Arabidopsis thaliana: one gene and its partner. The protein of the gene in region 1 interacts with the protein of each later gene in a biochemical or structural test. Each region holds a gene or a part of one and is shown in the gene's direction. Other genes may lie near its edges. The genes, in order: PIN7 and D6PK.

The links.
Region 2: of the proteins of PIN7 (region 1) and D6PK, one has a biochemical effect on the other in vitro, tested with the Arabidopsis thaliana proteins (one study listed by BioGRID).

Annotation. Positions count from the first base shown.
Region 1 is NC_003070.9:8,179,488-8,185,424, reverse strand, and holds PIN7 (Auxin efflux carrier family protein), read left to right. Parts: upstream 1-1,774; 5' UTR 1,775-2,018; coding exon 2,019-3,219; intron 3,220-3,296; coding exon 3,297-3,567; intron 3,568-3,657; coding exon 3,658-3,743; coding exon of another isoform or gene 3,744-3,781; exon of another isoform or gene 3,782-4,184; coding exon 4,185-4,342; exon of another isoform or gene 4,343-4,422; coding exon 4,423-4,499; exon of another isoform or gene 4,500-4,590; coding exon 4,591-4,657; 3' UTR 4,658-5,236; downstream 5,237-5,937. Other genes in the region: AST91 (sulfate transporter 91), read left to right, coding at 35-187. UniProt on the Arabidopsis thaliana protein: Acts as a component of the auxin efflux carrier. Mediates the initial auxin gradient which contributes to the establishment of the apical-basal axis in early embryogenesis.
Region 2 is NC_003076.8:22,639,082-22,644,065, reverse strand, and holds D6PK (D6 protein kinase), read left to right. Parts: upstream 1-1,651; 5' UTR 1,652-1,957; exon of another isoform or gene 1,958-2,203; intron 2,204-2,320; 5' UTR 2,321-2,431; coding exon 2,432-3,066; intron 3,067-3,149; coding exon 3,150-4,011; 3' UTR 4,012-4,253; downstream 4,254-4,984. Other genes in the region: AT5G55900 (Sucrase/ferredoxin-like family protein), read right to left, coding at 4,464-4,887, 4,972-4,984.

The DNA of each region.
Region 1 (5,937 bases):
TGATCTAAACTGGATATTTATTTTATGTGTGAAGCTTGTGTTTGTGAACCCTCTAAGCGAAGTGGTGGAGAAGCTTCAAAGAGCTGACGAACAAAAAGAGTTCATGAGGCCCGAGTTTCTCTTCTTAACCGTCGCTGAGGCCGTTGCGTCGCTCTCTCTTAAAGGGCCATCTCTCAGTAACGTTTAACTATAATTTTTTGTATCGGTCCAATATTGATATTTAACCGATGGTTAAATTTTTCTTTTTGTCTCTTTTTCATCTTTTAATTTCAGTACAGATGTAATATTACGTTCTTCTCTCTCTTTCTTCAGTGATGATTTTGGTCAAGATATGTTTGTATGATTTCGCCATTTTGTAGTTTACTAGGCCATGTTTAGTCTCCGAGAATAAAATTGATCTAGAATCGAATTGATATCTTAGCTAGATCAAACGGATGTATATCCAAATTATTTATGAAATAAACTGATTAAATAAAAAAATAAAAATAATATTTTTATTTAAGATAATTATGTTTTATAATATTAGAAAATATGACCAAACCATGAGCAGAATTGTGTTAAGAACTTTGCCAAGTTAGAGCTTACATTATATATCAAAAGTCAATGTGTAATTGTCAAGAGGGATAAACCGACGCGGATGAATCGAAGAAGCAATTGCTTTCAAGAAGACTTCAAATCAGCTATGTGTCTGCGATTATAATTGTGTAAACGTTATAAGCAAGAAATTTATCTCAAAATAAAACTGGTCTATAAATCAAATCGAATTGAAAATTTAGCTAGATTAAAAGATGAAATGAACTGATAACATAAACTAATAGATATTTTTAATAAGATGTTACTACTTTTGTGAAATGATAAAATATTTCTGAAGTTAATCGAATTCATTCAAAGCTATGATAACATTGTGACTTCTAGGAAAAAACAATTCTTGATACGGTCGCGGAAAGATCTTGATAACATTGTGACTTCCAGTCTTCCATATGGCATAAGGTATTCTTTTACACTAATACTTTCCCGACAACAACAACGAAAAACTCCAACCTTTTTTTAAAAGGCCACATAGAATGCATGATAGACCATCTGAAAGAAAATGGACAGGGTGGCTTAAAAGTGAGATTTCTTGGGATTGCATAGGATGTTATAATTAACCCTAGCTTGAAAAAAAAAAGACGATTAGACAATAAGAAATAGAATTTAGGTCAACTTAGTTCGGCGAATATGATCTTGCATTGCACCTTCTTTACCAATTTATAGTGATCTTTTGCTCCTTATAAGCACATGTTTAAATCACCACTACGACATTGTTTCTGTTTGGGCCAAATGCACACTTGTATTTTATCTCACAACGAGCTTATGAGAAATCAATCCTAGTAATACGTTAAGTGGCCCAAGAAGTTTTGGACCGGCATTTACGTGTATATAAAAAAATATTATGATTACTTTTAGATGAAACCACACTTAATTTCTTCTTTTTTCTTGGTAAACCACAATATCTCTTTATTGTTTTTATCAAGGATTCACAAAATTCATTGAATGGAAATTTTCATTTATGTGTGACATGTAGACAGTCAGTCCACTCTAAAAAATCTCAGTCAATTTCGTAACAAATTCATAACCTATTTCAAACACAATTCATAACCATAACTTATAAATACTACATAAATGATATTTCTTTATATCATCTTAAATGGTACATAAATTAGGGGAAAGCTAAGATATATATAGTATTAAAAAGTACAAAAATAGATAAGGTTTATAAATGTTTAAAGAAGTAATAAAATAGAAATAAGAACTAATTAGGTCGTCATGTGTTTGCTGTATAAAAAGCTGTAAAGGGACATCTCTCGTAAATCTAAAAATCATCAAATCTTCTCCTTCTCTCTCTCTCTCTCACACACTCACTAGCTTCTCTGTTAAAAGCTTCCGTCATCACATAGAGAACAGAGACTGACACTAACTCACTTCCTAACGGTTTCCACACTCAAAATTACACTTTTGCCACTCCGGCGAACAACAATATGATCACATGGCACGACCTCTACACCGTCCTCACGGCGGTGATACCACTCTACGTAGCCATGATCCTCGCTTACGGCTCAGTCCGGTGGTGGAAAATCTTCTCACCAGACCAATGTTCCGGCATAAACCGCTTCGTCGCTATTTTCGCCGTCCCTCTTCTCTCTTTCCACTTCATCTCCTCAAACAATCCTTACGCAATGAATCTCCGATTCATCGCAGCCGATACACTCCAAAAACTAATCATGCTCACTCTCCTAATCATCTGGGCTAACTTCACTCGCTCCGGTAGTCTTGAATGGAGCATCACAATCTTCTCTCTTTCAACACTTCCCAACACTCTCGTTATGGGAATACCTCTCTTGATCGCCATGTACGGAGAATATTCCGGCTCACTCATGGTTCAGATCGTTGTTCTTCAGTGTATAATCTGGTACACGCTTCTTCTCTTTCTTTTCGAATACAGAGGAGCTAAGATCTTGATCATGGAACAGTTTCCAGAGACTGGTGCTTCGATTGTATCGTTCAAAGTTGAGTCCGATGTTGTTTCTTTAGATGGACATGATTTTCTTGAAACTGATGCTCAAATCGGTGACGATGGTAAGCTTCATGTTACGGTGAGAAAATCAAACGCTTCTCGGAGATCTTTTTACGGTGGTGGTGGTACTAATATGACTCCTCGTCCGTCTAATCTCACCGGAGCTGAGATTTATAGTCTTAACACTACTCCAAGAGGATCTAACTTCAATCATTCTGATTTTTACTCTATGATGGGGTTTCCCGGTGGCCGGCTTTCGAACTTTGGTCCGGCGGATATGTACTCTGTTCAGTCCTCGAGAGGACCTACTCCTAGACCTTCGAATTTTGAGGAGAGTTGTGCTATGGCTTCTTCGCCAAGATTCGGGTATTACCCGGGAGGAGCTCCCGGGTCGTACCCAGCTCCTAATCCGGAGTTTTCTACCGGTAATAAAACCGGTAGTAAAGCTCCAAAAGAGAATCATCATCATGTAGGAAAATCAAATAGTAATGATGCTAAGGAGCTTCATATGTTTGTTTGGGGATCCAACGGATCACCCGTTTCGGACCGAGCTGGTCTTCAAGTTGATAATGGAGCCAATGAACAAGTCGGAAAATCCGATCAAGGCGGTGCAAAAGAGATTCGAATGTTGATCTCTGATCATACTCAAAATGGTGAAAACAAAGGTTTTTAACTTTTAAATTGTATTTTTTTTTGTAACATATGGACACAAATCTCAAACTGTATTTGCTTAAATTTGTAGCTGGTCCGATGAACGGGGACTATGGCGGGGAAGAAGAGTCGGAGAGGGTAAAGGAAGTGCCTAACGGACTACACAAGCTTCGGTGTAACTCCACAGCAGAGCTAAACCCTAAAGAAGCTATAGAAACGGGTGAAACTGTACCGGTAAAACATATGCCACCAGCGAGTGTGATGACTCGGCTGATATTGATAATGGTGTGGAGGAAACTCATAAGAAACCCAAACACTTACTCTAGTCTCATTGGTCTCATTTGGGCTCTTGTTGCTTTCAGGTAACTTAATCAAAAATCAACTACTAGTGGAAGTTTATTATTATTGTGAGATTTGATTAGAGTGATGATTATGGTAATTTGGATATGAAGGTGGGATGTGGCAATGCCTAAAATTATTCAACAATCAATCTCAATTCTTTCTGATGCTGGTCTTGGTATGGCAATGTTCAGTTTGGGTGAGTCATCTTTTTACTCTGTTTCTTTTTTCCGTTAACTCATTTACTTTCTTTCTATTTTTACGCCAATCAAATGTCACAACATCCACATTCGTACGGAAAAAATTGTAACTTTTTTTTGGTGAGGATTCCAATAATTGAAAATGGTTGGTATTTTTTAAGATTTTTTGGGATGGCCCGTTACGGCATGGACCATCCGACAGGTAGGGTCATTGATGCGACGTCGAATTATATAAACGGTCGTGGTGGGATGACATAGCTCGTGTTCTTGATTGTTGTCGTGGTCCCCATATTAAGTGGAAGTTGATTGGACTTACAATGTACATGAATGCATCATCATCATCATTTATTGGATTTAGATTACGTTTACATGTATTGCATCATTCAGCACTTGTTGTTTTGAGTGGAAATGAATTAACTGAAAATGTGAAAATGGTGAAGGGTTGTTCATGGCATTGCAACCGAAATTAATTGCTTGCGGAAATTCGACGGCGACTTTTGCGATGGCGGTGAGATTCTTTACTGGACCAGCGGTAATGGCCGTGGCAGCAATGGCTATTGGATTACGTGGAGACCTATTGCGTGTGGCCATTGTTCAAGTAAATTAAACTATTTTCGTTTGTTGTTAACAATCTCTTTGTAAGAAGTAGTTTAACCAAATCTTGTGGTAACGTTGTAGGCTGCATTGCCTCAAGGGATCGTGCCGTTTGTGTTTGCAAAAGAGTATAATGTTCATCCCGCAATCTTGAGTACAGGGTAAGTATTTCATATTGAACCAATAGTAAAACTTTTCTTATGCATAAGAGAAGATTACTAATATTGTTGATTCTTATGTGTATTATTGCAGGGTAATATTTGGAATGCTTATCGCACTACCGATTACACTTGTTTACTACATTTTACTCGGGCTATAAGCTCTTCAATGGAGAAGTTCTGCTTGGCTGAAGAGGATAAAGAGAAACAAGATAATTCCAAGATTAGTGGAACGCAACTAGAAAATGTAATGTAACACGAAATGTAGTAAATTTAAAGGGACCAAGATTTGATTTGAGGATCCAAAAACCCTTTTCTTGTCTATATATTTTCTAGAGATTATTTGAGAAAGAAGGTGATGGAATGAGAGAGACAAGAGGACCAAAACAAGGGAAAGCAAAAAAAACAGAGGACTAAGATTTGATTTGAGGATCCAAAAACGCTTGTATATTTTCTCTTCTTTTTTTATAAGAAGGGTAAAGCTTTGTTCATATATTTTGACTTGCAATAATTTCTCTTACTTTCTACTTTCATTTTGTTTAAAATTAGGTAGGTACGGTATTCATTTTTTGTTTGTTTTGTGTTTTGTGTAGGTTACTTCTTTCGACGAAAGTGTGTTTTTGTGGATTTTCCTTTCTCATCTAGTATACATTGCTCTCACAAAAGTAAGGACTGTTTTATTCCAATTAAATAAAGAAAATGACCTCTTAGTTAGCGATTAGGCGTGAAGATATATTACAATTGGTTTTATTTAATTTTTGTTCTTGTCTCATGACGTATATGATTATATTTATATTATAATTACATCAAAAGATATGAAATGAAGAAAATCATATGATAGAATTCGAGTAAAACCAGGAAAAAGATGCACCATTTTCTTACAATTCGGCTCTTCGTTATACATAATAAGGGGAAAATGAGTCCAGAACATCTCAACCCATTGAACTTTTAAATGAAGAAAACTAAACGTTTTACCAATTGAGTCACTTTATATTTTACTATTTTATGTTAGACATATTACTATACTAATTTGGACGTTGAGAAAATTTCTCTCTTTTTTCTCAAAAGGAATTTGTCTAGTATAACTTTAGATGCTGTTTAGACAAGTACGTCGACTTGATAAAGCTCTAGTTACCATTCAGAGCATTGGTTACCATTCAGAAGTGGGTTAGGCGCTTTGCACTCAAAACGCGGTGTCGTCGTTTTAGTAAGCTTTGTGATGTAAACACAAATTATATATAGAAAAATAAAAACATAAAAGTAATAAATTAACAAGCAGAAAGTTACTTAAAAGTCAAAAGCAAAAAATATGAAGAAAAGTAATAGCTGCTTTTTTGGTTTGTGTAAAAGTACTTTACTGCTTTTTCATTGTTTTCATACTCTTTTATTTCTAGGTATGTATGTTCTCAAATCTCCAATATAGAAAACGATTGAAAATGAC
Region 2 (4,984 bases), on another chromosome or scaffold:
AGAGTAAACCTAGAAACTTGTATAAAAATGGATATTCTTACCATTTAAATGTTAAAGCATCCTTAGTGACAGTGTCCAGCTATGATTTAAATTGTAATGAAGAAACTTAGAAACCTTAATCCCTCAAGTATCATGGTAAACAAAACATTTTAATAAACTAAACCTTTTATTTTGTTATTATTGCAGTATTTTTAACCTAAAGAAATGGGATTATAATGAAGAAAGATTCCCCACTCGCGTTTCACGTCACAAGCCGATCGTGTAGCAATTGTCGTTATTGGATCTGAGCTTCTCGATTAAAAATTGACGCAGTAATTGGATCTAATAAGAGCATGAGGTTAAAATATGAATTATTTGAGATATGAGGAAATGAACAAATTATACCCACTTGTGTTCTTTTATGTTGAACAATCTTCTGGTTTGTCAACTACCTGTTGAACCATTTCTAAAAAAACATTGTTTCTGTTCGATTTAAATGTGGGGGAAAAAAAATAAAATACATGAAATATAATCTTAGAATCTAAGGAAACTTATTATTGGGCAATAAATAAGAATTTGCTGAAAAGTTTTAGGGGCATCTTTTGGAACTCTCAAGTTTCAAACAATGGTGAGTCTAATTTTAAATAATTGTTTGGTGTGTTTAGTAAAAAAATAAAATAAAATTAATACACATGACCAATTTACGTATTTGTTATTAGGGAAATTTTTTAAAGGTTTATACAATTTTGGAATGTTTAGTTATTTTTAAAAACTTAAAAGATTTTTTTTTATTGATTTTGGTAAATGACAAAAACTTTCACTAAAAATTTGAAAACAGAATGTTTGACGGATGCTAACAAGCTTTTAGAAAGTATTATTTCGACCATAAAATTGGATGAACACTGGATGTAAATGGAATTGATAACAAAAGAAATCGAGATATAAAATATCTATTGTTATGTCTTCATTCAGCTTATAAGATTTATCATCTATTGGCAATCCGAAAAGATGCAAAACTCTTTGTGATATGGTATGCGCTAATGTTCATTTAATGCCTCAAGTTTCACCCATTAGAACACAAGAAGAAACTTCCGAAGATGCTGCATGATGACGAAAACATACGCTTAGGACGATGTTTTCCAAACCGCATAAATAAAACAGAAAATTATAGTTTGGTGGCACGCATATGGGATTGTCCTTCTAACAAAAATGTGCATTCACAATAGTTCTTACTTAGAATTGCTAAACTGAAAAACTCGTGTGAAAACTTAAGCTAAATATGTAAAATCCATAAATTTATGCATAGAGGTAAACATCAATTTTTTTTATCATCAAGTAAAAGGCACATGACAGATTCATGAGAATAGATGAAAGATAAGAATGTTGAATTTTAATAATTTAAATTGATGTGTTTAATAATTTAAAGAATCAAAAAGGAATTTTTTTGGTAAATATATATAAAAATTTCTATAGACAATTATTTAGAAAATCAAAATATAAAGTAAACATGTAGGAAATATACAATAACATGTATCAATAAAAATTTGGTTGCCCTAAAAAGCCTAAAATTATTAACAGCTCGCGAGAGCATTCTTGATGTAAACATATGTCTTCCATTTTGGAGAAAACAAAAAAAAATACATTGAAATAATTGAAATTCCCTCAAAATAAAAAAAATAAAAAAAAGTATTCAACTTTTTATTTGACCCTCTCTCTCCTCTTCCCTCTTTTCATGGTAGACCCAATTCTCTCTCTCTCTTAACAACACTCTCTCCTCTCTCTCCCTCTCTCTATCTATCCCCATTTCCATGGAAGCAAGCAGATGTGTTCTTACATCTCTTTCTCTCTCTACAGCCTTACATGAACAGTGACTGTTCTCTCTCTTTCCCTCTCCTTCCTTTTTTCTTCTACTTCTCCTTCCCTTTGCTTCGAAAAGGGTATCTCGTGATCTTTATCGCTCAAAAATCTTCACTTTCAGGTAACGATTTATTGGGTCTCTCTCTCTCTCTCTCTCTCTCTCTAAAGCTCTGTTCTTTTTATTTCTTCTTTTTCTGGGTTTTATTCTCTGATTCTTGCTAGATCCAAAAGTTCTTTATTTTGCCTCTTCTTCTTCTTTACTTTAACGAGATCTGTTTTTACCCTTAAAGACTCAAAATAAAAATCCAAACTTTTTGCATGAAGAGCTTTAATTGATTTGTCACTTAGATTTGATATTTCAATTTGGGTAAAATTTTGTGCATCTACTTAAACTTTCATCTGTAGTAAGATCCGTGATTGTTGTTTCTGAGTCTTCTCAATCCAGCTTTAAACTGATGCTATTGTTTTGTTTTGATGACTATAGATCAGGCCACTCGTTGATGGAATCTGTGACAGTATTGATTACTAGAGAGTAAAGACAAGTTCTTTAAATCTCAGGGAAGAAGGAATTGGTGTTTAAGATTGCTCTGTGTTAATGATGGCTTCAAAAACTCCAGAAGGATCACTTACCAATTCCAGTCAAAGTATGTCAATCAACACTTTAGCAGATCAAGTATCTTCGAGTTTGTCTTTCGCTGATCCAAGTAGTGATGGCAAAACCGGTAATAGTAAGATCAACGAGCAAGGTGAGAGTGGAAAGAGTAGCACTTGTAGACCAAGTACAAGCAGTGATATAAGCGATGAGAGCACTTGTAGCAGCTTTAGTAGCAGTATCAACAAACCTCACAAGGCTAATGATGTGAGATGGGAAGCTATTCAAGCTGTTAGAACTAAACATGGTGGTTTGGGTTTGAATCATTTTAGGCTCTTGAAGAGGTTAGGATGTGGAGATATTGGAACTGTTCATCTTGCTGAGTTGAATGGAACTAGGTGTTATTTTGCGATGAAGGTTATGGATAAAACTGCTTTGGCTAGCCGGAAAAAGCTTCTTAGGGCTCAAACTGAAAGAGAGATATTGCAGTGTCTTGATCACCCGTTTCTTCCGACTTTGTATAGTCATTTTGAGACAGAGAAGTTCTCTTGTTTGGTGATGGAGTTTTGTCCTGGTGGTGATTTGCATACACTAAGGCAGAGACAACCCGGGAAACGCTTCACCGAGCAAGCAGCTAAGTAAGAAACTTTTTCTAAACTTTCTTTATCTAAGAATCTAGTTTTGTGCGTTTATATAACCTTAGTGACTTGCTGTTTTGCAGGTTTTATGTCGCGGAAGTGCTTCTTGCAATGGAATATTTACACATGCTTGGGATCATTTACCGTGATCTGAAACCCGAGAACGTTCTTGTGAGAGATGATGGGCACGTGATGCTTTCGGATTTTGATCTCTCCCTGAGATGTACTGTGAGCCTCTCTATAGTCAGATCAGCTAATGTTGGATCCGAAGGCTTGTCGAAGAATTCGGTTTCTTGCTCGCAACAACCTGCATGCATCCAGCAACCATCTTGCATCTCAATGGCTCCAACATCTTGCTTCGGTCCTCGGTTCTTCTCATCGAAATCCAAGAAAGACAAGAAACCGAAAACCGAAAACGGGAACCACCAAGTAACTCCGTTACCAGAACTCGTTGCAGAGCCCACAGGCGCCCGTTCTATGTCTTTTGTTGGCACACACGAGTACTTAGCTCCAGAGATCATCAAAGGTGAAGGACATGGAAGTGCAGTTGATTGGTGGACCTTTGGGATCTTTCTTTATGAACTATTGTTTGGTAAAACACCGTTTAAAGGGTCAGGAAATCGAGCAACGCTCTTCAACGTGGTTGGTCAGCCTCTTAGATTCCCTGAATCTCCGGTTGTTAGCTTCGCAGCTAGGGATTTGATAAGGAGTTTGCTTGTGAAGGAGCCACAACATAGATTAGCTTATAAGCGTGGAGCAACAGAGATAAAGCAACATCCTTTCTTTGAAGGAGTGAATTGGGCTCTGGTTCGATGTGCCAGTCCACCGGAGATTCCTAAACCGGTTGATCTTGAAGCTTTGAATCCTACTCCTACTGTGCCAGCAGCCGCATCTTCGAGTGTAAGATCTGATCAGAGTAATTATCTTGAGTTTGATTTCTTCTGAAGAAACTGTTTCCACAGTTGATGATTCTCATTATTGTTTCTTTGCAAATTCTGTTTAGTGTTTTCTACAAATGTGTTTCTTTTTTTTTCTTCTTTTTAATTTTCACGTCTTGGAAAAAGTTATGAGATTTGTAATCATTCTTCAAAGTTGTGAGACAGTCTCTGTACCATCTTCTTGAGTTTAATGTTAGACACGAACCATTGAGAATCCATTAATCCACCATATCAAAACCTCAAAAGTTCCTTGCTTTTCATTGATCTGAACTCTAAACCAAATTGACTAAACCCGTAATTACTTACAAATGGATATATAATAATCATATGTTATCAACAAGCAGTTCTTACTTAAGAGTTAAAACCCTCTTCTAACTCTGTACAGACGAAGAGGAAACAACTAATCTAAAGACTGAGATAATTACCATTGCATAGAAGCTAAATATAAAACACATAGCTTCATTTCAATTGTTTATAGCAGTTATAAGCAATAGCCACAGATGCAGCAGCACAAGCAACAGCTAAAGCAGCATATGTATCTTCTCTCTCCCAAGTCTCCAACCACATTGACATCACCGCACAAACCTTGAATCCACCAGAAGATCCATTCTCGCTGCTTCCTATCCGAAGAGATGCATTTTTTACAGAGGTTACTCTCTCCGAGGTATTTTTCTCTGTGTGAATCTCCTCCAGACAGTAAGAGGAGTTCCCATTTTGTTGGCAACCACTACCGTTCAGCTCTGGGACAGCTCGAGACTGGCAACAGATACTATTATTAACTGATTCTTGAGTCACCTCTCTGTTGCTGATCTTTTCGCTGTTTAATTGTAACCTTTGTTCTTGAGTTTTCTTCTGATCTTCTTCTGGCAGACCCATTTCACCCCTGGAAAACAATCAATAAGTGTTGTTTAAAGGCCGAAATTCTTTTTAGAGACTGTCTAAATCAAGAAGCTTTGATCTTCTATACCTCCAAAGCCGGT